Linked DNA regions of Diceros bicornis minor. The protein of the gene in region 2 interacts with the protein of the main gene of each other region in a biochemical or structural test. Links are inferred from orthologs where the notes say so. Each region holds a gene or a part of one and is shown on either strand. Other genes may lie near its edges. The genes, in order: COPS4 and COPS7A.

Region 1 (12,973 bases), on a different chromosome or scaffold from region 2:
AAAGAATCACCAAAAACTATAAAACTAAAAAATATTATAACCAAACTTAAAAATTCAATGGAGTTCTTAGCAGATTAGACGCACTTGAAGAACAGATAAACTATAAAGCAGGTTAGAAGAACCTATCCGGAATAAAGCATTGAAATGGGTAAGTACAGAAGACAGGGTAAGAGACACAGAGGTCACAGGAAGGGGGCCTAAAGAGGGTTTCACTGGAGTCCCAGGGGAGAAAATAGAACAGGCGGGACAGAGGCAACATTTAAAGAGATATAGCTGAAAACTTCTCAGGACAATGAGAAGCCAATTCATTAATTCAAGAAACGCTTTCCAGGACAATGAAAGGATCCAATTCATTAATTTAAAAAACACAAGGAAGCTCAACCAGGATAACACAGTAGAGCATTTACAAAGAGGCCACATTCTTTCACCCACTGTATCTATGCCCCTTTGCAATGAGACTTTACAGCTCTTCACATCAAGAGGTAGAGTTTATTTCCCCACTCTGTGATCTGGGGGTTGGTTTTTTTTTTTTTTTGGCGAGGAAGATTAGCCCTGAGCTAACATCTGTTGCCAATCCTCCTCTTTTTTGCTGAGGAAGATTGGCCCTGGACTAACATCCGTGCCCATCTTCCTCTACTTTATACGTGGGATGCCTGCCACAGCATGGCTTGATAAGTGGTGCATAGGTCCATGCCCAGGATCCGAACCTGTAAACCCCAGGCCACCAAAGTGGAGCACACAAACTTAACCACTACGCCACCGGCCGGCCCCAATCTAGGCTTGTTTTGACCAACAGAATGCAGTAGAAGTGAAGTGCCTGTTCCGAATCTAGACCTCAAGAGGCCCTGTATGCATTTTATCCCTTGGAACCCTGCTTTTGCCACATGAACAAGCCCAGGCTAACCTACTAGATAATGAAATATGCAGCCCAGTCACCTCTACTGCCCCAGCCGACACAGAAGCAGAGCTGACACGTGGAAGCCCGTGTGGAACAAAGACCATGCGGAGAGGAGAAGAACCATCCAGCTGGGCCCAGCCCAGACTGCCAACCAACAGAACTGTAAGCTAAATAAATGATTGCTGTTTTAAGCCACTAAGTTTTGGGGTGGTTTATTTCACAGCAAAAGCTAACCGACATAGAAAAGTAAAAAATTCACATAGATACATGATAACGAAGCTGCAGAAAATTAAAGACAAAATCTTAAAAACAGGTAGCTGCTAATATAGTTTTTAGGAGAAAGAAATAATTTACTAATGAGGTCGATCTTGAAGCATTCTAAATACTTCAACTCAGTGTGAAGTGGCAAAGACTAGGGAAAGGCAGGCACTCTAAGCAAAAAATCACTATCTGAAATGTAGTCCAGTTTGGTGAAAAAGGCCAAAAGGTCGATTAGAGTTAAGGGCTATGAGCCAAGCTGACAGGCTGTATTCTGTCTCTGCCACTAGCTATGTGACCTTGGAGCAAGGTATTTCACCTCTATACCTCAGTTTTTTCATATATAACGTAAACAATATTACTTGTTAAGGATTAAAAAATGTAGGTAAAGTTGTGCTTGGCGCACAGTGAACACTAGATGTTAGGGAACTTCACTCTTGAGATGAAAACCCCTAAAACTGTTGTGTGTGGGAATAACAACAGAGAACCAGAGAATCTGAGTTAGAAGGGGCCTATGAAGTTATACAGTATATCCTCCGTTGGTTGGTTGGTTGTGTGTGTGTGTGTGTATCCTCTATTTTTTGACAGTTCTACTCCACTCTATTATTACAAAGTTCTAATCCAAAGTCTACGTCTATAAGGCAGAGTAGTCTATTTTCTTGTCTGAAAAACAGCTTTTCTAATAGTCAAAGGCAGCTAAAAGGTCTCCCATTACTTTCCTTTCTCCAGGCTAACAGCTTCCTGTAAAATGAAACGTTTATACTCCAAAGGCCCACTATGCTCCTCTGGGGATCCTCCATACCCCAGAACCGGGAAAAAAAGAAAAGAAAAAAAAGGTCCTATTTCTGTAGGATTAACTCAACAAAGACCTATAATCCATGACCTCATACCTGCCCTCAAAGAGATCACATTCTAGTTGGAGAAGCAGACAAGTAAAGAAAACAGTTGAGCGCTATAGTAGAGGGAAATATAGGATGCCAGTAGGCACAGGAAGAGCAACCACCCAGGTCCCGTGTGGGGTGAGCACGAGTGTGTACTGGTGGTTGTTCCGAGAAGGCTTTTTGGAAGAAATAACATCTGAACTGAGTTTCGAAGAACCAAGTAGGTTTTAGCTAATTCAATAAGACAGGCTATCACAACAGCTATCTATCTACTCAAATGCTCCCTCTCAAGACTCTCCTCTTCTAAAGCGTTATATGAGATGATGAACACAATGCATAATAGGTACAAAAGCAGTTTATAAAATCTGCAAATATGCTTCTCATATGGCCAATTTCTTATTTCGATTTTAGACTGTTGTGTTAATTCATAGTTATAGGAAAGCATTTCTAATTGAAGTTTTGGCAACAGCAGCAGTATAGGCTGGTAAGGTTAAAAATGAGCTTTTTAGAGTAGACAAACCTGTGTTCAAATATAAGCTCTGCACATTTCTAGCTATTCATTGATTTAACCAACATTTGTTGAATAACTACTCTGTTATAGATATCCTGCTAACTGCAGGGAACACAGAGTATCAATATTTTAGAAAAGAATTTTCTCCATGATTCCTTAATATAGAATCCTGTTACTCAGCTCCTAACATAAACCCTAAAACTACTGATATATTTCAAGAGTGTTTCTCTCATAAAGCACTAGCTGGCAGAACTGTTTTGTTACGAAAAGAAATACCCTGACACATTCTTGCCCAGATAGGACCAGGCAAGGCCAAGACTTTTCTCACAAAACACTGGCTATCAGTTATCAAGCACATTATTTCATTTAACATTCTCAATAACCCCATGGAGTAGATTGTGACAGTAACGGACTCCAATGAATCATGCCTCCCTCTGACCACGCCCTTCTGCAACATAACTTGGCCACTGCTCCCATAGAGGTAGACTCCATTTCCCCTCCCCTTGAATCTGGGCTGGGCTTGTGACTTACTTTGACCAGTATCAGGGAACTGATGTTGCAAGACTTCCAAGGCTGGCCTTAACAGACCTTCAGCTCTCACTCTTACCCTCCAGGAACACTCCTATGGCCCTGTAAGGAAGCCTCAGCTAAACTACTGAATGACAGACCACGTGGAGAGAGTGTGAGACCCAGCCAACAGCCGGATGTGCATCTGCGTCTATTTTACCCTACCAGCCCCAGCTGAGCTGCCAGCTGACTGCACCTGCATGAGGGAGGCCAGACTAGACCAGCAAAAGAGCCCAAAGAATCCTGAGAAATAACAGTTGTTTTACACTAAGTTTTTGGTTTGTTACACAACAATAAATAACTGAAGCACTCTATAAGATAGGTACTACTGTTTATCTGCAATTCAGAGTTGAAGTAAATGCTTAGCTTAAGTTTCAGAATTCTGCAAATACTTGAAAAACTATATCTCTTCTGATAACTAACGCACTTATTTTTCTTCAACAAACAAAAAAGCAAGCAAGCATGCGGGAAAATATAAGCTAGTTTTACTTTCATCCATTCTATAAAAATTACATGCAAAGAAGATTAAGCCATGAAGACATATTCAACTTATTTCCAACCCATGGAATAAGTCAATATATATTTACTAGCTGGGTAATAATAACAACAATTTTGTGACACTTTCTAAGTGTTGGGTACTGTTCTAAGTGATATAACACAAGTGTATACGCACACACATACTCATTTCGTTCTCAGACAAGAATAAGTCCTATAATTATCCCCATTTTCCTGAGGGAGAAATTGCAGCACAAAATAGTTAAGCCTAAGATACACAGCTAAATTTCCCACTGATAAAAGTAGATTACATTCACCACCACAGAAAAGGCAGCACAGCCTACATAAAGCACAGTCAAGGTTCCAACAGCCCGGTTAGAGCAGGTGTATCCCATCAATACAGATCAAAGTGATCTCAGCTGTCAGGATGTAAATATTAGGATCAATTTGAGAAGCATACTTTAAACAGAATGCACGTTCATTACAAAAGAACAGTATAGTGAAATCTACAAAGAAAAAACGGACAATACCTATGATTAACACTGCTGAATAACTGCTTGCAGGAGAGGGACATGTCACAAATTTTAACTTGGAGTGGACCTAAGCCTTCTACACAAATTCCGACAAAATTCCTAAACAATCCAGATTCCTGCAAACATTACTACTCTAGACATCCTGACCCACGTTATGAAGACATTCTGCCTATGTGCCCTTTTTCAGAGCTGGTGGCGGAGAGAGAGTACCCAAAACAATGACCCACAGAAGACGGTCCGAGGGGTTCTGGACATGATAGCGGCCATACCTCCTCAGCCCCCACCAGCCTCAAAAAGCCATCTCCCCGCAAAACTCTGCATCAAGGCCCAGAATATAAATTTCCCTCAATCAAAAAGGAAAAAAAAAAAGTCCAAAGAGAGGCGAGAATTCGGTGTGAGAGGCCAGAGAGCGATGGGAAGAGGCACCAGAGAAGGCTGAGAAGGCCGTGGGAGCAGTCGTCCCTCAGACCGCGCTTCCAGAATTTTACGAGACCGGTAAGGATGCTCTCAAGGACTGAACGAGCTGACAGTCACCCTAGGTCTAGGGCCCCGAGGGATCCCTGCACAAGGTCCCCTTCAGCCTTCTGCTGATCCCAACATTTGCCTCCATAACCGACCTCAGGCCCGCCCCCTTGGTCGTCAGGCCAGCGCCTAGCCTCACATGCGAAAGCCGCCATCAACCCCAGGAGAACAAGTCTGTGGTTTCCCTCCCCACCTCCCATGCCCCTGAGAAGTACTCACTTGCCCGCCAGATCTTTATGAGAGCCGCTCGAATTCATGAGCTGGGCCAAATCCTGTCGCACGGCTGCCGCCATCTTTCCTCCAGCTCAGCCGAGGTTGCAGGGCCTCCCACTGCCAGAAAGAAAACGAGTGTAGTCCTCCAGAGTGCAGCCAGAGGGAACTCGAGATGCCACAGAGTAGCGTTTCTGTGGGCCAGAGCGCCGCGGTGGGAGCCTGCGCTGGGTCCGCCCCCAGGGTTGAGTGACGCGAAGCTCCACTCCTCGAGTCCGAGGCCCAAGCAGGTCTCTCCCACAGGCTGGGGCTCTCACGCTCCCACTTCGGATTGGAGGATGAACTTCAAGGGAGTGTGTCGCTTGTGCAACTCCGGTAAGTGTCGGGTATGCAAAACTATCGCGTTTTCATTAAGTTCCGTGTGTCACGTCTATAGTTTACCGATCCTCGTTCTTTAAGGCAGTCCTTAAACTACCTGTGGTAAAGAAGGAGCTGTTTTTTTTCCAATTCACCAAAGACCGACACTTTTGTAAAATACGGTAAAAAATGACCCCATTCCCCCTCCCACTCTGTACCTTTTGTATAAGTTGATCATATATCCCAGTTTGTCCAGGACAGTGGCATTTTCCATCTGTTGTCCTGGGGTAATTATTAATAACACGCCCTTCCACTCTAGAAACACTTTGATTTGGATGAAAAAGTATATGGTCACCCTACGTTTATATGTAATTATGTTCATTATTCATATATCCGTATAGAATTTCTTTCTGCAAATATAAGCAAATAAAAGTACATTTTTATCCTTTCTTGCTTTCACAAAAGATAGCACACCATATCATTAGTCTGCCCTTGATTTTTTCACTTTTCCTAAGATCTTACCATAAGTCTGCAAAGCTTCCTCATTCTTTTTTAGAACTGGAGAGTATTACATAATGAGGGGATGCGTAGCTTATTTAATCCTTAAACTAGACACTTAAATAGTTTTTAGTCAATGCTACAATGAATAACCTTGTACATCCATCATTTTATATGTGTACAGGTAGAATACATTCCAAGAAGAGAGTCAAAGGGTAGATGTGCTTACAATTTTGATAGATACTGCCAAATTGCACTTTATAGGGATGGTACTTTTTTGCCTTCCTACCAGCGATATGTAGGAGTGCAATTTTCTACAGCCTTGCCTACAAAGAACGTCAAACGTTCTAATTTTACCAGCTTGATATGTCATAATTAGCATGTTCCCTCTATTGAGAAGAGGAAAGAAGCCCAGAATAAGGAAGTCCTTTTAAGAAAGTAATGTGGAGTGCCCACATCAATTCAGATCTCACTCTATTGGCAAGAGCTTAGTCACATGACCATGGCTAGCAACAGTGAGACTGGAAATTTAGTTTCCAGTTGGCAGTCTTGTGCCCAGGAAAAAGGAAAGGATGGTTTTAGAGGAACAGTCAACACTCTCTACTACAATCTGTCCCTCTGACCACCTAAATATCTGTGTTTCCTTCTTACAGTAGAACGCTCGCACCCTCTAAGAAAGAGAATTCAGTTTCCCATTTAGTTTCTATATTAGCTCAAATTCCAGGATGTCTGATAAGGCACAATCCTCTCCATCAGGTTAGGATATGGTTTTTTATGGTGCAGAGACATATACACTACAAAACAAATTATCTGCTCCATACCCATACGTGTAATACAAAACAAGAGTGGAGCAGGAGTAGGATAACCCCAGGTAAAACTCAGAAAAAATAAAAATGGGAAACATACAGCAGTTACTGGTCTATAGCAATGGTGGAATCCTGGGCAGGAATTATGAATACTCACTATCCTCGTAGTGGAGTAAGTTCCTTGGTTAGACCCTAGTTCTGCTCTCTGAGAGGATCTCCATTGTCCGTTGTATTTTGTGGGCCCAAGCTTTGCCCTCTGCATACAAGTTAACTGGATGTTGAAGAGTATTCCCTCTTTGGGGAAATGCCTCAGGACTTGAGCAATTGAGGGCTTTTGTAGGCCAGGTTTTTCAATATATATATAATTTCATTGAGTATTCAGTAACCTCTGCTGCTTCCAGACAGTTTCTGGTGCCAGTAACCACACCCAAAGTTCTTTCTAGTAGTTATTAAACTTGCCCTATTTTCCGGCTTCCATACTCAGTCCATTCTTAACATCCTCCTTTTAGTGATGGAAGCTTTGAAATCATCTAAAACAATAGGTTTAAATGAGAAGAGAACTCTATTCATTTGATTTTTGCTTCAGCTTATCTTTGTTTTCTGTTTATGTGCATTTGCCAAAAAGTCTTAATGGGCTATGAGAATTCTCTAAGCTAAGTCTTTTCTTCTGCTATTTAGGGGTAATAAACAGTTGGCTTTTTCAACTTAGTGAAGCCCCAGAATTTCTGGAACATTCTATTCCCTTTTTACCCTGACTTCAAACTTTACTTGTAATACCTTGCTGAAAGCAAAAAAGAAGCAGCCACACACACAAACTGGCTCTTTCTAAATATCTCCACTAGAGCTACAAGCTAGGAAGGGAGGTTGTCTGCCATCCTAGTTATTGTAGGCCGCAATTTTACTGAATTTTTTGACATGACAAGGCCTCCCCTTTCCAGACTGCTCATTACTCCTGCCCAACTTCGAAGAGACTACTACATATTTTTAGGTTTTACTTATAGCAGTGTGAACATTAATAAACAAAAACCTCATTAAAATGGAGTTGGGAGGCCACAAGGGGAAGCTCTCATGCCTTACCCAGATAGCAGAACCCAAAAGAAGAAGAAAGACTGCCTCTTCTTTTTTTTTTGTGAGAAAGATCAGCCCTGAGCTAACATCCGTGCTAATCCTCCTCTTTTTTTGCTGAGGAAGACCGGCTCTGAGCTAACATCCATTGCCAATCCTCCTCCTTTTTTTTTCCCCCAAAGCCCCCCACTAGATAGTTGTATGTCATAGTTGCACATCCTTCTAGTTGCTGTATGTGGGCCACGGCCTCAGCATGGCCGGAGAAGCAGTGCGTCGGTGCGCGCCTGGGATCCGAACCCGGGCCGCCAGTAGTGGAGCGCGCACACTTAACCACTAAGCCACGGGGCCAGCCCAGACTGCCTCTTCTTGACTAGCCAGAAGCTCAGCAATGAGAGTCCGTCAAAACTCAGCCAGTGAAGACCCACTACACCTCAAACTCTTTGTTTACAATAGCTTTCCCAACTTCCCCTTCCCCTCTATAAAAGAGTTTCTCCTCCCTTGCTGGTGGGGACTTGCACGTGGCTTGCCATGGTTGCAGACTTCAAATTGCAATTGTTTGCTGATCCCAAATAAACCCATTTTTGCTGGAGAAATAACTAGCTATCTATTTGTTTAAGGCCAACATTTTGGTGGCCCCTATGGAGATCCAGAGAAGACCCCCAACGACTCTGAGGCTGGTGAGCAAACTGGTGCAGTACACACAACAGAGCCCATGGAGCTCGATGATTTTCTCGCTGACCCTGGGGTTTGAGGGTAAGTCTTTTCTCCTGGATACGAGCTTCCTCCCTCTTTGCATTTGAGGCTCTCCAGGCTTTATTTGAGATTTTAAGGCTTCGTCCTTTTCTAGTTAAGGCCTTGTTTGTCTGCGAGTACTCGGGGGGCACTTCTCCCTGACTCTGAATCAGGCTGTTCCTTAGAACTGTGCTAACCTTTTGGAACTGGACTGTTCCCATACTTGAAACTGTGCTAGCCTTCAGCCCAACTTTCAGACTGTTTCACTGGGACTGTGCTGTCCAGCCTGCAGCCTGACTCCCTTGGGAGCAGACTGTCCCCTGGAACTGTTGATCAACCTTGGCTCTGATTCCCTTGGGAACTGGACTGTTCATTGGAAGTGAGTTGTTCTCGACCTTCCATCCGCCATAATGAAACTGGACTGTTCTACAGGGACTGGCTGGTATTAAGCCTGCAGGCTGTTGGAGCTGTTCAGGCCCTTTGAGTTACAAGCTGTTTGAGCTATTTAGGCTGTTTGAGAATTATCACTTTGCTCTAGAGGAAAACCTCTAAGAAATAGGATCTCAGTCATCTGATATTTTGAGGGCATCCACCCCTACAGGGACCCCAGCTGATTTTCTGTTTAGAAACCGCAGTCATTCCTCATGCACATTTCTAACTAAATGGGCCAATTTAACCAAAAGTAATTTAGGACACCAATGGCCATTGTGGGAGACTTTTGAACTCCCCAGACTTACTTTTCTTAAAACTAAATTGGACAGCCATAGCTCTGTAATTTCCAAAACTGAATGGAATGTTTATTTCGATTGGTATTTTGAGGCTTCCAAATGTTGTTAGGGGTCTAAAATTGCCTCTTTACAAAATAAAATTTTCAGATTAACTGAGGCGAACAAACGATTAAAGAAAGGTAAAATGGCTTTCAACGCCTCATGTTCCTCTTCCCTGGCTTCTATGTCTCGGGCCCTGCCTCCAGCGCCATCATGTTTCTCCCCCCGCTCCTCCTACTCAGGCCCCACTTCCAATGGCATCTTCCTCCTTCCCTTCTGTACCGTCTATGCCTTCTCCATACCGTCAGTTCCCCCATACTAACTCTCTTGCCAAACTTCCCCTTTTCCCTGAATCTCTCTCCACTCCCTCATTCTCTGAACCTGTACGAACCTGTCCCTTTAAAATTAAGCTTTTTGAGGATCCAAAGGCTAAACCCTTAATTTCTTTTTTTTTTTCCCCCAAAGCCCCAGTAGATAGTTGTATGTCATAGCTGCACATCCTTCTAGTTGCTGTATGTGGGACGCAGCCTCAGCATGGCCGGAGAAGTGTTGCGTCGGTGCGCGCCCAGTATCCGAACCCAGGCTGCCAGCAGCGGAGCGTACACACTTAACCGCTAAGCCACGGGGCCAGCCCTAAACCCTTAATTTCTTATACTCCCTGGGCTAAGGCTGAACTGTGAAGCATTTTCACAAAGTAACTAAAGATCCTCGCAGATTTGTTAAGGTATTTAATATAGTCATTCAAACTTATTGACCTGGTTTCTCTGACTTGTATCAGCTAGTTCATATGCTTGTCGGTGAAGGCCAGTCCCAGCTTTGGATGAAAACCACTAATTGGGAAAATCTTGACAGGTCTCTAGAATTACAACCAGGAAACCAACCCCACTGACCTGTTGAATGATGAGGCTCAGGCAATTGCTAGATGACTTCATCTGGCAATTCCTAGGGCTTTCCCTGTTGATTGGAACAAAATTCAGGCTTGTGCATAAAAACTCGATCAACCTGTTCATGACTATTATAATCGACTTCAGATTGTTTTTTTTAAAGAAAATTCTGGTCATCTTTCAGATGTTGATTCCCCCTGGGTAGCTTTTAACTGTATGTTTATTAGTGGACTAACTGGGACCTTTCCCTTCTAGTAAAATGACCAGGATGAAATGGGAAACCATCCATTCCAGGTTTAGTTAATCTGACAAACCAGCTCTCTCACACTCCAGATGAGTCACCTAAAACAAAGACTGCTAAAATTCCAATCTTCAACTCCAGCAAATGAAGGCCCTTAACGAAACCAAAAACCCCCTACTTTCTACTATTATTGCAAAGAGCTAGAACATTGGAAAAGTGATTGTTACTAATTTAAACACTTCAGGCGCCTTCAGGCCTCTAACCAGCCTTTCCAATGTCCTCCAAGTCCTCAATTATGTGACTCCAAGGAACTAAAGAGGCTCTTCCTAATCCTCCCTCTTAATTGGCTTGGAGAAGCATTTCTCCAGATTGGGGATGAATCTCTTTCTGTCCTAATTGACACTGGAGCCATACTCTTGCGCTCAAACCACTACTATAACGCAGCCCTGCCTTGGAGTACTAAGACAGTTCAAGTAGTGGGAATTTCTAATAAACCTCAAAAAGTTTCTGTCTCTGAACCTGTTCCCTTTTGTTTAGGTCCTTTGAGAGACACACACCCTTTTCTCCCTAGTTCCTCCACCCCTATTCACTTATTAGGCTGAGACATCTTGGAAAAGCATCATGCCAGACTTTCTTTCTCTCAAAAAGGGGAAATAATTCTAGAATTTGACAGTAGTTATTAAAACAGTTGTGCAGGTGAATTAAATGACCCTTTGTCATGTTTTATTTGCTCCTTCCTCTGATGGTACTGGAGCTAATTCTGGAAACTGTCTGTTTGTCTCTATTGAATCAGTTACCATCCTCCTTATGGGCAAAATCTCCAACTGACATTAGTAAAATTCACAGCGCACCTCCCATCAAGATTCAAATAGATCCCCCAAAACCTCTCTCCAGACTTAATCAATACCCTGTAAGGACAGAAGCCTCTCAAGGTATAAAGTCCATAGTAAAGGGTTACAAGGCTCAAGGCCTCACTATCCCTTCACTAGTCCCTGTAACTCTCCCGTTTTACCTGTGAGAAAACCCAAGGGCCAAGGGGGGAGCTTTGTCTGGGACCTTCGAACAATAAACAACGTTGTTATCCCTAGACATGCTGTTGTTCTTAACCCTCATATGCTACTAACAGCCGTTCCCACTGGAAGCAAATTCTTTACAGTAATTAATGTATGTAGTACATTCTTTATCACTCCGGTTGATGAAGCTAGCCAACATCTTTCTGCCTTCACTTGGGAAGGAAAACAATTCACCTGGACAGTAATGCCTCAGGGTTTTACTGAGAGCCCTTCTTATTTCTCACAAATCTTGAAGGCTGATCTGGATGATATAAAGTTCCCTAGGGGTTCTACTTTTTTGCAATATGTGAATGATTTGCTTCTTTGCTCTCCCTCCAAAGTCTTCTCAGAGGAAGACAGCATCCACTTGCTAAAGCTTTTAGCCTTAAAGGGATATAAGGTCACCAAGGAGAAATTGCAGTTTACCCAAACCCAGGTTTGATATTTAGGGCATCTTATATCAGAAGAAAGGCTACACCTAGATCCAGATAAGCTTCATGGTGTCCTAAGTTTCCCCAAACCCAAAACTAAGCACCAACTGCAAGGTTTTCTCGGGCTAGTGGATTATTGCCAAAATTGGATTCGAAATTTCTCTCTGTATGTTTGACTAAAGAACAACAACTCTGACCCAATTTTATGGGAAGAACCAGACGACATAGCCTTAAGGGCCTTAAGGGAGAGTTTAATGAACCCACCTGCCCTTGGACCTCTCAATTGTCAGATTTTCTTTTTCCTTTTTGTATATGAAAAGGAAGGGAATGTCCTTGGGGTACTCAGCCAATAACCTGGGGACAACCATCGAACCACAGGGTATTATAGCCAGCAACTGGACCCTGTGGCATGGGGATACCCCCCTTGCCTTAAGCGTTTTTGGCTTAAAGCCACTGAGAAAATCGTTGTGGGATCCCCTTGAGCCATTTTTGTACTTCCTGCAGTGGAAGCCCTCCTGAATGCTCATCAGACTCAACATTTTTCAGTCAGCCACCTCACCTCCTGTGAAATCCTATTGTTAACTGCTCCTCACATAACTCTTACATTGTGGTAACCTTAACCCCGCTACTCCTCTCCCCCCCATTACAGACACAGTACCTCACGGCTGCTTAATGCTGACAGATCACCTCCTGACTCCTCACGAAGATCTGCAGGAAGCCCCGCTGGGTAACGCTGACTTCTCATGGTTTACTGATGGTTCTGATTTAAAGAGTGACAAAGGCAAATACTTCACCTGGTATGCTATTGCAACTCCTTTTGATATTGTTGAGGCAACACCTTTACCTATGGCTAGTTTGACAAACAGGCTGAATTATATCTTCTTACACGGGCTTGTACTTTAACCAAGGGCAGAACTGCCAATATTTACCCTGATAGTAGATACGCTTCTAGAGTAGCTCATGATTTCAGAATGTTGTGGAAGCAACGTGGCTTCCTTACTTCTAGTGGAAATAAAATTAAAAATGGCCCCTGTGTTCAGGAATTATTGGAGGCTATACTTTTACCTGCCACTTAAGCTATTATTAAGATCCCGGGGCATTCTAAACTTGACTCTCTGGAAGCTAAAGGAAATCACCTTGCTGATATTTCTGCAAGGAATGCAGCCCTGAAAGGAACCAACAGCAGTCAAGCCTCTGTCATGGTCCAAAGGGATATTTCTCCAAATGATAACTTAGAAAAACTGACTAGAGAAGCCCAACAACTG
Region 2 (12,513 bases):
TTTTAATACAATCTATATCCCCTTTCCTTCCCCATCAAACTCATAATAGAAAGTATAAACCCTTCCAGGATTGCCATCAGGCTTTCCGAGACAGCCAAGGCCAAGAAAGAACCATCTCTCAACATCTCAAGAAAAAGCTACCCTTCTTAGGCTCTGGGGTCACTGAAGCAGCAGCATGCCCAGGACCCAAGGGGAAGAGAGAGGAAAGGACACAACCGTAGTGTGACAGGATTCTAGGATGAAAGTTTCCAGTGACTCCTAGAATGGCAGATTGGCTCCCAGAACTCTCAGGGTGGGAATAAAGGTGGGAGCCCTATGGCTCTTCAGATGTTGCCCAAATAGTCTGGGGGTAGGGAGTAGGACCTGGGGATTAGGCATGCAAGGATAGGGTGGTAGGAAAAGGAACATGTGTGGGTTATGCTGGAGATGGAGCAGCCCCACCTACTCAATGACAGGTAATAAACAGGGAGAGACGCTGGCTCTTAAAGAAACAGGGAAGACAGCATGGCGTGGAGGGGAAGGGGGACAACAGACACATAACAAAGTCACATAAAACCAAAAGTACCAACAAAAACATGAGTTGTACTTGCCTCCTCCCTAGAGGTCTGATCTATGCTTGGGGGTGGGGGAGAGGAGAAGGGAGGTGAAGGGTCATGAACCCAGGATTATCAGCTGGCCAGGGGCACAGGAAGGCTTTCTGAGGACTCCTAAGGGGCAGGCAGGCAGCTGGGACCCCACATCCCCAGGAAAGAGATGACAGTCCCTTCAGTTCGACTTGGACCAAATCTTGGCGCTCCCTCGGAGCCTGGCAAGGGGAAGAGAAAGAGAGAGGCTGCAGGGAATCCCCTAACCCCTGAAGGCTCCCCCCATTCCCTACCCCCACGCAAATGACTAAAGGGAGTGAGGGCAGCTGGGTCTCTGAAGTAAAAGCAGGGCACTCCGGAAGCGAGCAGTTCTTGCCACACTGGCTCACCCCTTGCCCTTTGAGGCTTTCTTGCTGGGCTGGCGCTGGTTGGTGCCAGGAGCTGGTTCCCTCAGTTCAGTCAGGTGTTGCTCAGGGTCCTGAGATGTGGCTGCAGCGGCTGCTGCTGTTGTAACTTTAATGGTTTTTTTAAGGTTGGCGACCTACCAAGATGAAAAGAATAGGGGATAATGAAGAAGGTTCCAGAACCTGACAGTCCCTGCCTACCTTGTCTGTCTGCTACAGCCACTGTCCAACTGGACAATGGGCCCAGGATGGAGGAACGTGGGTCCGTCCTGCTCCCCTGCCTGCTCACCTCACTCTCGATCTGCTGCTTCAGGCCCAGCTGCTGTTCCTTGTGCTGGTTGGCACGGCTCACCTGCTCCTCAATGCCTGACAGCACAACCTCACAGCCCACACACCTGAGGGAATTGGGAGAGAGAAGTGTCAGCAGAAGTTTCACAGACTCAGGAAAAACAGACTCGGAAAGAACCCTAGATCCTGGCATCCAAACCCTTGTCTGAGTTAGGAACCCTCACCAGGGCACCTGGAAACCATCTGCAACAACATTCTCAGGAGCTGGAAGGACACCCAGGTAAGATGAAAGAGGTATAAGGAAGTGCCTGGAGTGATGTGCAAGATGGGGGTAGGAACTGAAACCAAAATGGGACAGGAGATGCTAAAGAGAAAAAAAAGGTGTATTAATGAACTAAAGTTAGACAAAAACACAAAGAGAAGCACAGAAGTGTAAGAGGCCCACGGCCTATGACAGCGCTGGTTACAGACCGATGGGTTGAATCCAGCCTAAGACAGGTGACCAATCTCCCAGTGAGGATCTTCTTAAGAGTACCATTCCCCTTTCCCTCCCCCAATCTCTATACCAAGGATACGGTCTCCTGCCTCTTGCCCCCCAGGCCCTCCTCCACTCCTTTCTCTTCATCCTCTTGGATTCCACCTCTGCAGCACAGCCCAGCCATCCCCCATCCAAAGCGCCTCTCCCTTTCTTGGGGTGAGAAGAGACAATGCCAGGACACAGGTCTCACCACTCTTGCAGGGTTCGGGCAATGGCACTCAGGTCCTGGCGCTGGATGTCCCGCCCAATGCTGTAGTCAACCTCCAGCCGCTGATTGCGCTGGTCCAGGGAGCCACGAAGCACATCGGCATATACAGCCTCAATGACAAGATCTTCCAGCTGCCGCACGTTACGCAGGGCAAGGGCCTCCAGCAACACTGCATATGGGATACACTGGGGCCCGGGGAGGTCGGGCTGGGATTTCTGAGGTTCCATGGCAGAGAAGGGCTTCCAAGATTCTTCTTCCCTCCTTTTCCCCCCTGCCTAGGCTTACCTGCCTGCCCTCCACTCCTACTCCTAAATAATTTTCTCTAAAAGGCTGGTTCTAAGGCAAAATAAATAAAAGTATTCCCACCTGAAAAATAAGGACATGAGAAGGACAATCTTAAATAAAATATAAGATTATGCTCCCCTACCATGCTTACCTCCCACACCACAGAGGAATAAAGTGACATTTGCCTGAGTGTCAACCCTCTGGCCACAGCTCAGGATAGCACACAGACCTTGGTCAAGACCAGCTTGACATAATGTGTGGCTGACCAAGGTTCCACACCTTGACATAAGCTTTGGCAGAGGTTTTGAGTTACTCTGTTGACCATTTATACTTCGCTTCCTTCCAAAGAGGCATCTCGCAATAAGGAGCCTGACTTAAATCACGACAATGACGGGAGAGTCAAGTAACAATTGGGAGAGCGCAGATGGGTGGGAGGGGGAGAGTTAACAAAAAACTGAACCTAACAGGAAATACGGAGATACTTCTGCGTTATGTTTTTTTTTTTTTTTTTTGAGGAAGATCAGCCCTGTGCTAACATCTGCCAATCCTCCTCTTTTTTTTTGCCGAGGAAGACTGGCCCTGGGCTAACCTCCATGCCCACCTTCCTCCACTTTACATGGGATGCTGCCACAGCATGGCTTGCCAAGTGGTGCGTCGGTGCGTGCCTGGGATCTGAACTGGTGAACCACAGGCCACCGCAGCGGAGCACGCACACTTAACTGCTTGCGCCACCGGGCCGGCCCCTGGGTTATGCATTTCTTATTCTAGCAAATAGAAGCCTAGCACTTCAACGAGGAGAGAGACCCTCGTTCCCATGGGACTTTATATAGTGGGGAGGAGGGTGATTGTTGAACAACACAGAGAACAGCATCCTAGTCGTCATTTTGACACAAAGCACAAAAGATGTTTTACTTAGAACTTAAGTTGACTGAAAAATAAAAACAAAACAGAAAACTAAGAGAATACTACTCAGCCTAAAAGGCTGCAGGTAATGAAGTTTAGATACAGACCTTAGAGGGATGTGGGGGGAAGGCAGGAAGAAGCAACAGTATGGTCAAAGGCTGTCTGAGTGCAAATTCCCTTCAGATGGGCCCTTACGAAGGGACATACCGAAGAGTGCTCTTTGGCTCAGGCCTGGGGGGGACTGTCACTCACCTTGACTTTGGCAGCCAGGGTGACGACTGATAGGTGTCGAAGTTTATTCTTCTGAGCCTCTGTGAGTGGGGGAAGATTCCGGGCTTCAGCTGGGAAAAAAGGACAAAGTGTAGGAAATCCTGACTTCACTTTTGTGGGAAGCCCTAGCCTTCTTCCTTTGCATTTCTTTGTGTGTGTTCTCCATGCCAATTCAGGTCTTGACCATGACCCTGCGTACCTAAGGAACCTAAGTAAGGTATGCCAGGAATTTCTTCTAAGTCCCTCCAGAAATTGCCCTTCTCCCACCTCCATGACTCCGGAGCTCCAGCCCCTCTGGTTACCTAAGTAGTCAGCATATGTCCCATAAGCAAACACCGTGAGCAGCCGGAATGTGGACGCGAAGTCACTCTCAGCCAGCTGCAAGAACATAAGCAGGGAGAAGAGGTGACAGGAAGGGCCTCTCTCTCCAACCTCCCAGCCTTACCCTGGTTTGAACTCCACTTTCTGGCCCCATCTTTCCCCTCCAACATTAGCTCTCCCAGCTCACCAAAAGGAACTCTCTGCCTCTCTGATCACTTTCCCAAATTCCCATAGAATTTCCCAATTCTGCCTCACTTCCCCCTTCAGGCCTTTGCTTACACTATTCCCCCAATCCACAACGCCTTGTTCCTCCACAGGCCTCCAATTCCTACCCTAAATTCAGAGGTGAAAACGTTCAGAGTGTTCAGTGTCTCACACACACACACACACACACACACACATTATAAACGGCGTTGTTTGGTCCTTAGAGTGTGTTTAATATTTCTGCATTTGAATATCTTTAGGCAGTCTGCTGTACTCCCCAATTCACCAAAGACGCCTCCCTCAGCCTCTCTCATCTCTGATAGCTGCATGGCCTAGGCAGGCACTGGAATTTGTGGCCTCTGTTTCAGACCTGCCTCACCCAGAAGGCTTTCATCACCCAGGCCAGCCCACCCAGATCTCCTCTCTTCCTATCACTAATCACTCATTCTGGCACTTAATCAATCAAACCCTGCCTAAGGTTGTTACCCAAGAATATGTTTCTTTTCAACAAGATTACAGACCCAGCCTCTGGTATCCCACTTAGGTCTAGCAGAGCTATGCACGTAGTCAGCTCTCTAAACAAATACTTGCTGGTGTCATACATCTTGGTGACCCACACACTCTGGACTTTAAACTCTTAACTCTGCTACTTCTGTGTGAACAGTTCTCTCTGCTGTGTTTCTAGCCACGTGTCTTTGAGGAAAAGAAACCTCCTAACTTATCTAACTTAAGTGAATTAGCTATCATGCAAAAGGGGGAGAAGAGGGCATGCCAATTTCATGTTTGTTCCTTCCATTTGTCCCAGACTTTACACTTTTCCATAATCTCAACTGATTCCTACAGTAACAGTGAAGGGCAGTATCAGCTCCCTTTTTAAAAGAGAAAACTGAGGCCCTAAAATAAAAGTGACTCGATCAATGTTACACTGGCGGAGACAAGCTGAAATCAGGTCTCCTATTCTGAATCACATGCTCTTTTGCTTAAAAATGAAAATACTGGGGTTTACAGATCATTCATCCCCAAAGGGAAAGTAGGAGGTTTACTTGCATACTTACTTTTGCAAGCTGCCAGTTAATCATCAACGCATTCTTGTTCAACTGAATGGTTATGGGGTTGCAAAACGTGCCCTGCCCACTCATCCTCAAATCCAAACTTTAGCCCAAGTTTCCCTGTGGGCTATTCAGGCCAGGAACCCACCTCTCTAACATTAGGCATATCCAGCAGTTCCCCAAACACGTAGACACCAGGGGCCTCCAGCACCTGGTGGATGAGTGTGGCCAGCGCTGCCCCCTTGGCCGACTTGGCCAGGAGCAGAAACTGCTCCTGGTTCTGCCCTGTCACCTTCACCTCGGCACTCATGGCTGCACTGAGCTGGGGGACCTGGGCTCAGGATGTCTGGAGCTGCAAGGAAAGAGGATGTGAAGCTGGAAGTCCCTCAACACTGGGAGGTGGGGAAGTACAAGGGCTAGGGACTGGTCTGCAGAGGCACTGAGTGTCTGCAGTGAGGAATCAGAGATGGAGCTGTCTAAAACTCGGATCTAGGAATCCTAAAATTGGCCACTTTGATGGAAGTCTGGCTGAGACAGGATGGCCACGCCCACCCTCTCCCATCCCTGGGCCTAATCTCAAGCCCCACCACGTGCACCCCCTTGAACCCTAAGGCAAGGATGCAGTGGGGAAGGAGTGTCACATGATGTCCACCCCAACGACGACGCTCCCTCAAATCGCCACTGGTGCCCCGAATGTACCCCCAGCCACGTGATGTCACCCTCACAGTCCTTCCACGTGGCTCCGCCCCCTCCCTTAAAGAAGCCGCCAGGGACCGTGGGCTCCCGCAGCCTGCCCCGTCCTACCCCGGGTCAGACTCTGCGGGCCGCTACCTGGAAGCTTCGTCTTCCAGTGCACCGGGCGGGGCCGCCGCTCCGTCACCTCCGGCAGCTGCTCCGAGCCCTTCCTGAGACCTCTCTGCAGGGGCACTCTGGCCACTACACTCTATGGCTGACTTCCGGCCGTACTTCCGCTCTTATGAGGCCGGTTTCGAGCGCAACATGCCCCGCCCCCTCCTTCCGACTGCTGAAGCTCCTGTGAGTGACACAAGCATTCTACTTGCTGATTGGCTGTTGAGGAAAGAAGGACGGGTGCCTTTTTTTCTGCTTTGTTTTAATAAAACTTTATTGTTGGACGAGCGCTAAGACGCTAAATGCAGAGGGAACTCGTGGTCTCAGTCCGGTACCTGGTGGTTCTGTGGCAGCTCTAAGCTGCCTGATATCTGGAGATCCAGGCTGCACGGGTGCCTGAGGCGAGAGGAAAGCTATAATGGAGAGAGAGGGAGAAGAAGAAAAAAGGTGGGGGGATGAAGAGGAGAGAGGAAGAGGACAAAAATCAATAATAGAAGTTTAGCACCAGAGATCACCTGGGTAGTTCAACCACTCATTTTTTTGAGGAACAAGAGAAAAGAAGTGGAAAAGGTAAAGCAAATAATAATATCTAATATGTATTGAGTGCATACTATTGGTTAGGCATCTTTTAAAATTTTATCTTATTGAATCCTCATAACTATACTGTGCCCCCAGTGTGACTCCAGGACACTGTCTATCGTGATTACATGTACTTGTAGAGTGATGCTTTCCTGTATATTGACTCTTAATTCCTCGAGGAGGAAAAAACCCTAGGTGGAAGGAAGGCATATGTTATTATTCTCATTTCACAGATGAGGAAATTGAGGCTCATAAAAATTCAGAGATTTGCCTAGAACCCAGGTCTTTTCAAAGCCAAAGCATCTTCCCATTTTACCACTGTATTTTAGGAAAAAATAAACAGCTAACATTTCTACACTTTTATCTTTCATACCAGGCTTGCAGAGGGTCAAATGAGAATAAAGTTAATGACTTCTTGGAGGCCTTTGTGTTAAGCACTGAGCTAAGAGCTTTACTTAATTCATTTGATGGTTATAATAATCTATTATTATTTCCATTTTCCAAATGGAAAAATTGAGGCCCAGGGAAGTTAAGTAATTTATAAGTAATGGAAAGAGAGAAAGTGGGAAAAGAGAACATAAATGAAGAGAAAATCACAGGACTGGTAGACTGCTGGAGCTGAAGGGACTTGAAGCTCAAAGTTTATGGTCCACATGGCTTGGTTTATGATAGAAAATGAGAAGCAGAAACTGGGAAAGGAGAGAGAGAAGGAGAAGAAGAAAAAGAAGGAGGAAGAAGTGGCAGAGGAGGAGAAAGAGAAGAAGAAATGAATGGAAGAGATTACACATAAAAGTGAGAAGAGGGGCCCGCTCCGTGGCGTGGTGGTTGAGTTTGCACACTCTGGTTTGCCGGCCTGGGGTTCACAGGTTCAGGCCCCAGGCGCAGACCCACGTACTACTTATCAAGCCATGCTGTGGCAGGTGTCCCACATATAAAGTAGAGGATGATGGGCACGGATGTTAGCTCAGGGCCAATCTTCCTCAGGCAAAAAGAGGAGGATCGGCAATAGATGTTAGCTCAGGGCTAATCTTCGTCACCAAAAAAAAAAAAAAGTGAGGAGAAGAGATCAAAGGCATAAGAAAATATCCAAAGTTTGGAGGAACCAAAGAATTAATGAATCCAGTCTTATCAATTTAAAGAGGGAAGGAAAAAGAAAAATATGAAGAAAGAATGAGAAAAGAGCCAACATATGTTCTATTATGTGCCAGGTCTTTATTTGTTCAACTTTTTTTTTAAGACTTTATTTTTTAGAGCAGTTTTAGGTTTACAATAAAATCGAGAGGAAGGTACAGAGATTTCCCATATACTCCTTGCTCCCATACACGCATAACGTCCCCCATTATCAATATCACTTACCAGAATGGTACATTTTTTATCAAGGATGCACCTATACTGACACATCGTAATCACCCAAAGTCTGTAGTTTACCTAAGGGTGGGTTTGGACACCCGTATAATGACATATATCCATCATTATAATATCGCACAGGGGCCGGCCCCCTGGTGTAGTGGTTAAGTGCACACGATCCGCTGCTGGCGGCCTGGGTTCAGATCCCCAGTGTGCACTGATGCACCGCTTGTCAGACCATGCTGTGCGTCCCATATAAAGTAGAGGAAGATGGGCATGGATATTATCCCAGGGCCAGTCTTCCTCAGCAAAAAGAGGAAGATTGGCATGGATGTTAGCTCAGAGCTAATCTTCCTCACAAATAATAATAATAATAATATCATACAAAGTATTTTCACTGCCCTAAAAATTCTCTGTGCTCTGCCTATTTATCTTTCCTCACCCCCCACCCCTGGCAACTACTGATCTTTTTATTGTCTCCATAGTTTTGCCTTTTCCAGAATGTCATAGAGTGGGAATCATACAATATGTAGCCTTCTCAGATTGGCTTCTTTCAACTTAAGGTTCCTCCATGTCTTTTCACGGCTTGATAGCTCATTTCTTTTTAGTGCCAAATAGTATTCCATTGTCTGGATGTACCACAGTTTATTTATCCATTCAGCTATTGAAGGACATCTTTCTTCCAAGTTTTGGCAATTATGAATAAAGCTGCTATAAACATCCATGTGCAGGTTTTTGTGTGGACATGTTTTCCACCTCTTTAGGTAAATACAAAGGAGCATGATTGCTGGATCATATGGTAAGAGTATGTTTAGTTTTGTAAGAAACCACCAAACTGTCTTCCAAAGTGGCTGTGCCATTTTGCATTCCCACCAGCAATGCATGAGAGTTTGTATTGCTCCACATCCTGGTCAGCTTTTGGTGTTGTCAGTATTCTAGATTTTGGCCATTCTAATACGTGTGTAGTGGTATCTCATTGTTGTTTTAATTTGCATTTCCCTGATGACATATGATGTGGAGCATCTTTTCATATGCTTACTTGACATCTGTATATCTTCTTTGGTGAAGTATCTAAGGTCTTTGACTCATTTTTTTTTTCCTTAGATCAATGTGTCATGGAATGACCCATTTTTTAATTGGGTTGTTTGTTTTCTTATTTGTTGAGTTTTAAGAGTTCTTTGTATATTTTGGATAACAGTCCTTTATCAGATGTGTCTTTTGCAAATATTTTCTTCAGTCTGTGGCTTGTCTTCTAATTCTCTTGATATTGTCTATTGCAGAGCAGAAGTTTTTAATTTTAATTAAGTCAAGCTTATCAATTATTTCTTTCATGGATTGTGTCTTTGGTGTTGTATCTAAAAAAGCATCACTATTCTCAAGGTCATCTAGGTTTTCTCCTATGTGATCTTCTAGGAGTTTTATAATTTTGCATTTTACATTGAGGTCTGTGATCCATCTTGAGTTAATTTTTATGAAGTATGTAAAGTTTGTGTCTAGATTCTTTTTTTTTTTTTTTTTGTGAGGAAGATCAGCCCTGAGCTAACATCCATGCCAATCCTCCTCTTTTTGCTGAGGAAGACCGGCCCTGAGCTAACATCTATTGCCAATCCTCCTCCTTTTTTTTTTCCCCCCCAAAGCCCCAGTACATAGTTGTATGTCATAGTTGCACATCCTTCTAGTTGCTGTATGTAGGACGCGGCCTCAGCATGGCCGGAGAAGCGGTGTGTCGGTGCGCGCCCGGGATCTGAACCCGGGCCGCCAGCAGCGGAGTGCGCGCACTTAACCCCCAAGCCACGGGGCGGCCCTAGATTCATTTTTTTGCATGTAAATGTCCAGGTGTTGTAGCACCCTTTGTTGAAGAGGCTATTTTTGATCTATTGTATTGCCTTTGCTCTTTTGTCAAAGAATAGTGGACTGTATTTATGGGGGTTTATTTCTGGGCTCTCTATTCTGTTCCATTGATCTGTTTGTCTATGCTCTTGCCAATACCACACTGTCTTGATTACGATAGCTTTATAGTAAGTCTTGAAGTCAGGTAGTGTCAGTCTTCCACCTTTGTTATTCTCCTTCAATATTGTGTTGGCTATTCTGGGTCTTTTGCCTCTTAATATAAATTTTAGAATCACTTTGTTGATATCCATAAAATAACTTGCTGGGATTGGGATTGAGATTGCATTAAATCTATAGGTCAAGTTGGGATAAACTGATATCTTGACAATATTGAGTCTTCCCACCCATGAATATGGATTATCTCTCCATTTATTTAGTTCTTTGATTTTGTTCATCAGAGTTTTGTAGTTTTCCTCATAAAAATTATATATATAGTTAGATGTACACCTAAGTATTTCTCTTTTTGGGGTACTAATGTAAATGGTATTCTGTTTTTAATTTCAAATTCCACTTGTTCATTGTTGGTATATAGGAAAGCAATTGACTTTTGTATATTAACCTTGTATCCTACAACTTTGCTTTAACTGCTTATTAGTTCCAGGAGTTTTTTTGTCAATTCTTTTGGATTTTCTACATAAATGATTATGTCATCTGTGAGCAAAGACCGTTTATGTCTTCCTTCCCAATCTGTATACTTTCTATTTACTTTTTTTGCCTTATTGTATTAGTACAATGTTGAAGAGAAGTGGTGAGAGGGGACATCCTTGCCTTGTACGTGATCTTAGTGAGAAAGCTTCGAGTTTCTCACCATTAAGTATGATGTAAGTTGTAGGGGTTTTTTGTTGTTATTGTTCAACTTTTTATTCAGTCTTTACAGCAACCATTTGAGGTGCCTATTAATATCTCAGTTAACCTGTAAGGACACTGAGGATCACAGAAGTTACATAAATTTTGAAGGCTTCCAGTATAAGTGGTGGAACTGAGATTCAAATGCAAGTTTGTCTGATTCCAACACTGTGCTAAGAAAGAAAATAAAAAGCAGAAAGGAAAGACAGAAGAGAAGAGGGAGAAAAAGATAGCCTGAGATTTAGTCCTGATTCAGCCTTAAACTAGCTGTGACCTTAAATTGTGCCATCTCTTGGTATCTCATCTTCCATATCTGCAAAGTGAGCAATTAGGCCACAAAATCTGTAAGGCCAGTTCTGATTCTGATGGTTTGTTTTTCTTTTTTTGGTGAGGAAAATCAGCCCTGAGCTAACATCTGATGCCAATCCTTCTCTTTTTTCTGAGGAAGACTGGCCCTGGGCTAACATCCATGCCCATCTTCCTCTACTTTATATGGGACGCCGCCATAGCATGGCTTGCCAAGCGGTGAGTTGGTGCGCACCCGGGATCCGAACCTGAGAACCCTGGGCTGCCAAAGTGGAGCGCGCGCACTTAACCACTGCGCCACTGGGCCGGCCCCTGATTCTGATGTTTTATGGTTCTCTAAGACAAAGAGGAGTAAGAGGAGAAAATGAAAGAACAATTAATAAGTAGACAAGTAGAACTTAGAGAAAGAAAGGAGAGGGGATGGACTAAAGGAGTGAGATTAGAAAGAGCAGAGAGAGAAGAGGAGGAGGAGGGGATATGAGAAAGAAAAAAAGGGATTAGAAATGAGGAAAGAAGAGGGGAAGTGGCAAGAAAAATAAAGATCTCCAAGGGGAGGATGGGAGCTAATTAAACTCAAGCAAAGGCTAGGCTGTAACATTCATTCATTCGTTTGTTACTAAGTAACAGTTATGTACAAGGCCTTATGCCAGGTGCTGTGTTTTTAATGCCAAGGATAGAACACAATATACACTGAAATAAAGTGGAGAAGCTGACTGACATTCAAGGAGTCAGACACATAATAAAATATTCATCATTGATTCAAAAGGCATATATTGAGCACCTCTTATTGCCAGCCATTGTTCTAGTTACTAGGGATATACACAAAATACCTGCCTTCTTGGTATTTACATTCTTGTGGTGAGACTCAGGCAAAAAACAAATAAATACATATATACATACATAAATAGTCAGGAGGTAATAAATATTATGAAGAAAAACAAAACAGGGAGAGGGGGATGGGGAACGCAGGAGACATTTGCTACTTGATACAGGGTAGTAAGGAAAGGCCTTTCTGATATGGTGGCAATGGAGCAGAGACTTTAAAAAAAAAAAAAAAAAAAGAGCAAGTCATGGATTTCTGTGGGGACAATGCTCCAAGCAGAGCAAACTACAAGTGCAAAGGCTCTGAAATGAGAACATACATACTTGATGTGTTTGAGGAACAGCAGGGGGGCCTGTGTGCAATTATCCAGGCAAGAGATGGTGGTGGCTTAGACGAAGGTGGTAGCAGTGGAGGTGAGAAGTAGTTGGATGCTGAATTTAATTTAAAGCCAAAGTGAACAGAATTTGCAAATGGATTAGATGTGAGATATGAAAGGAAAAGAAAGAGTTAAGAACAACATCATACAGGCAAGTTGCACCAAACTTACAAAGTGCAGATCCTTTTAACCTTATATGTAAACTTTTCCAGAAAATAGGAAAAGCAAGAACACTCCTCAACTCATTCAACAGGGCCAGAATTACTTTGATAATGAGACCAGATGAGGGCAATACTAGAAAGAAAAATTACAGGCCAATCTCACTTATTAACAGATACACAAAAGTCTTCAATAAAACACTAGCAAAACTGAACTCAGCAATGTGCAAAAAAGATAATACACCAAGACTAACTTGAATTTATGTCAGGAATTTAAGGGTAGCT

Evidence for each region.
Region 1: the proteins of COPS7A (region 2) and COPS4 form a complex in vitro, tested with the Homo sapiens proteins (2 studies listed by BioGRID). The link is inferred for Diceros bicornis minor from reciprocal best matches to the Homo sapiens genes COPS7A and COPS4.

What each region holds. Positions count from the first base shown.
Region 1 is NC_080747.1:67,676,283-67,689,255, reverse strand, and holds the start of COPS4 (COP9 signalosome complex subunit 4), read right to left. Parts: upstream 5,054-12,973; 5' UTR 4,959-5,053; coding exon 4,885-4,958; intron 1-4,884. Other genes in the region: LIN54 (protein lin-54 homolog), read left to right, coding at 8,240-8,354. UniProt on the Homo sapiens protein: Component of the COP9 signalosome complex (CSN), a complex involved in various cellular and developmental processes.
Region 2 is NC_080756.1:55,002,245-55,014,757, forward strand, and holds the start of COPS7A (COP9 signalosome complex subunit 7a), read right to left. Parts: upstream 5,993-12,513; 5' UTR 5,886-5,992; exon of another isoform or gene 5,774-5,885; intron 5,407-5,773; 5' UTR 5,365-5,406; coding exon 5,203-5,364; intron 5,180-5,202; exon of another isoform or gene 5,145-5,179; coding exon of another isoform or gene 5,061-5,144; intron 3,859-5,060; coding exon 3,783-3,858; intron 3,552-3,782; coding exon 3,463-3,551; intron 2,208-3,462; coding exon 2,005-2,207; intron 1,384-2,004; coding exon 1,278-1,383; intron 1,126-1,277; coding exon 974-1,125; intron 806-973; coding exon 766-805; 3' UTR 1-765.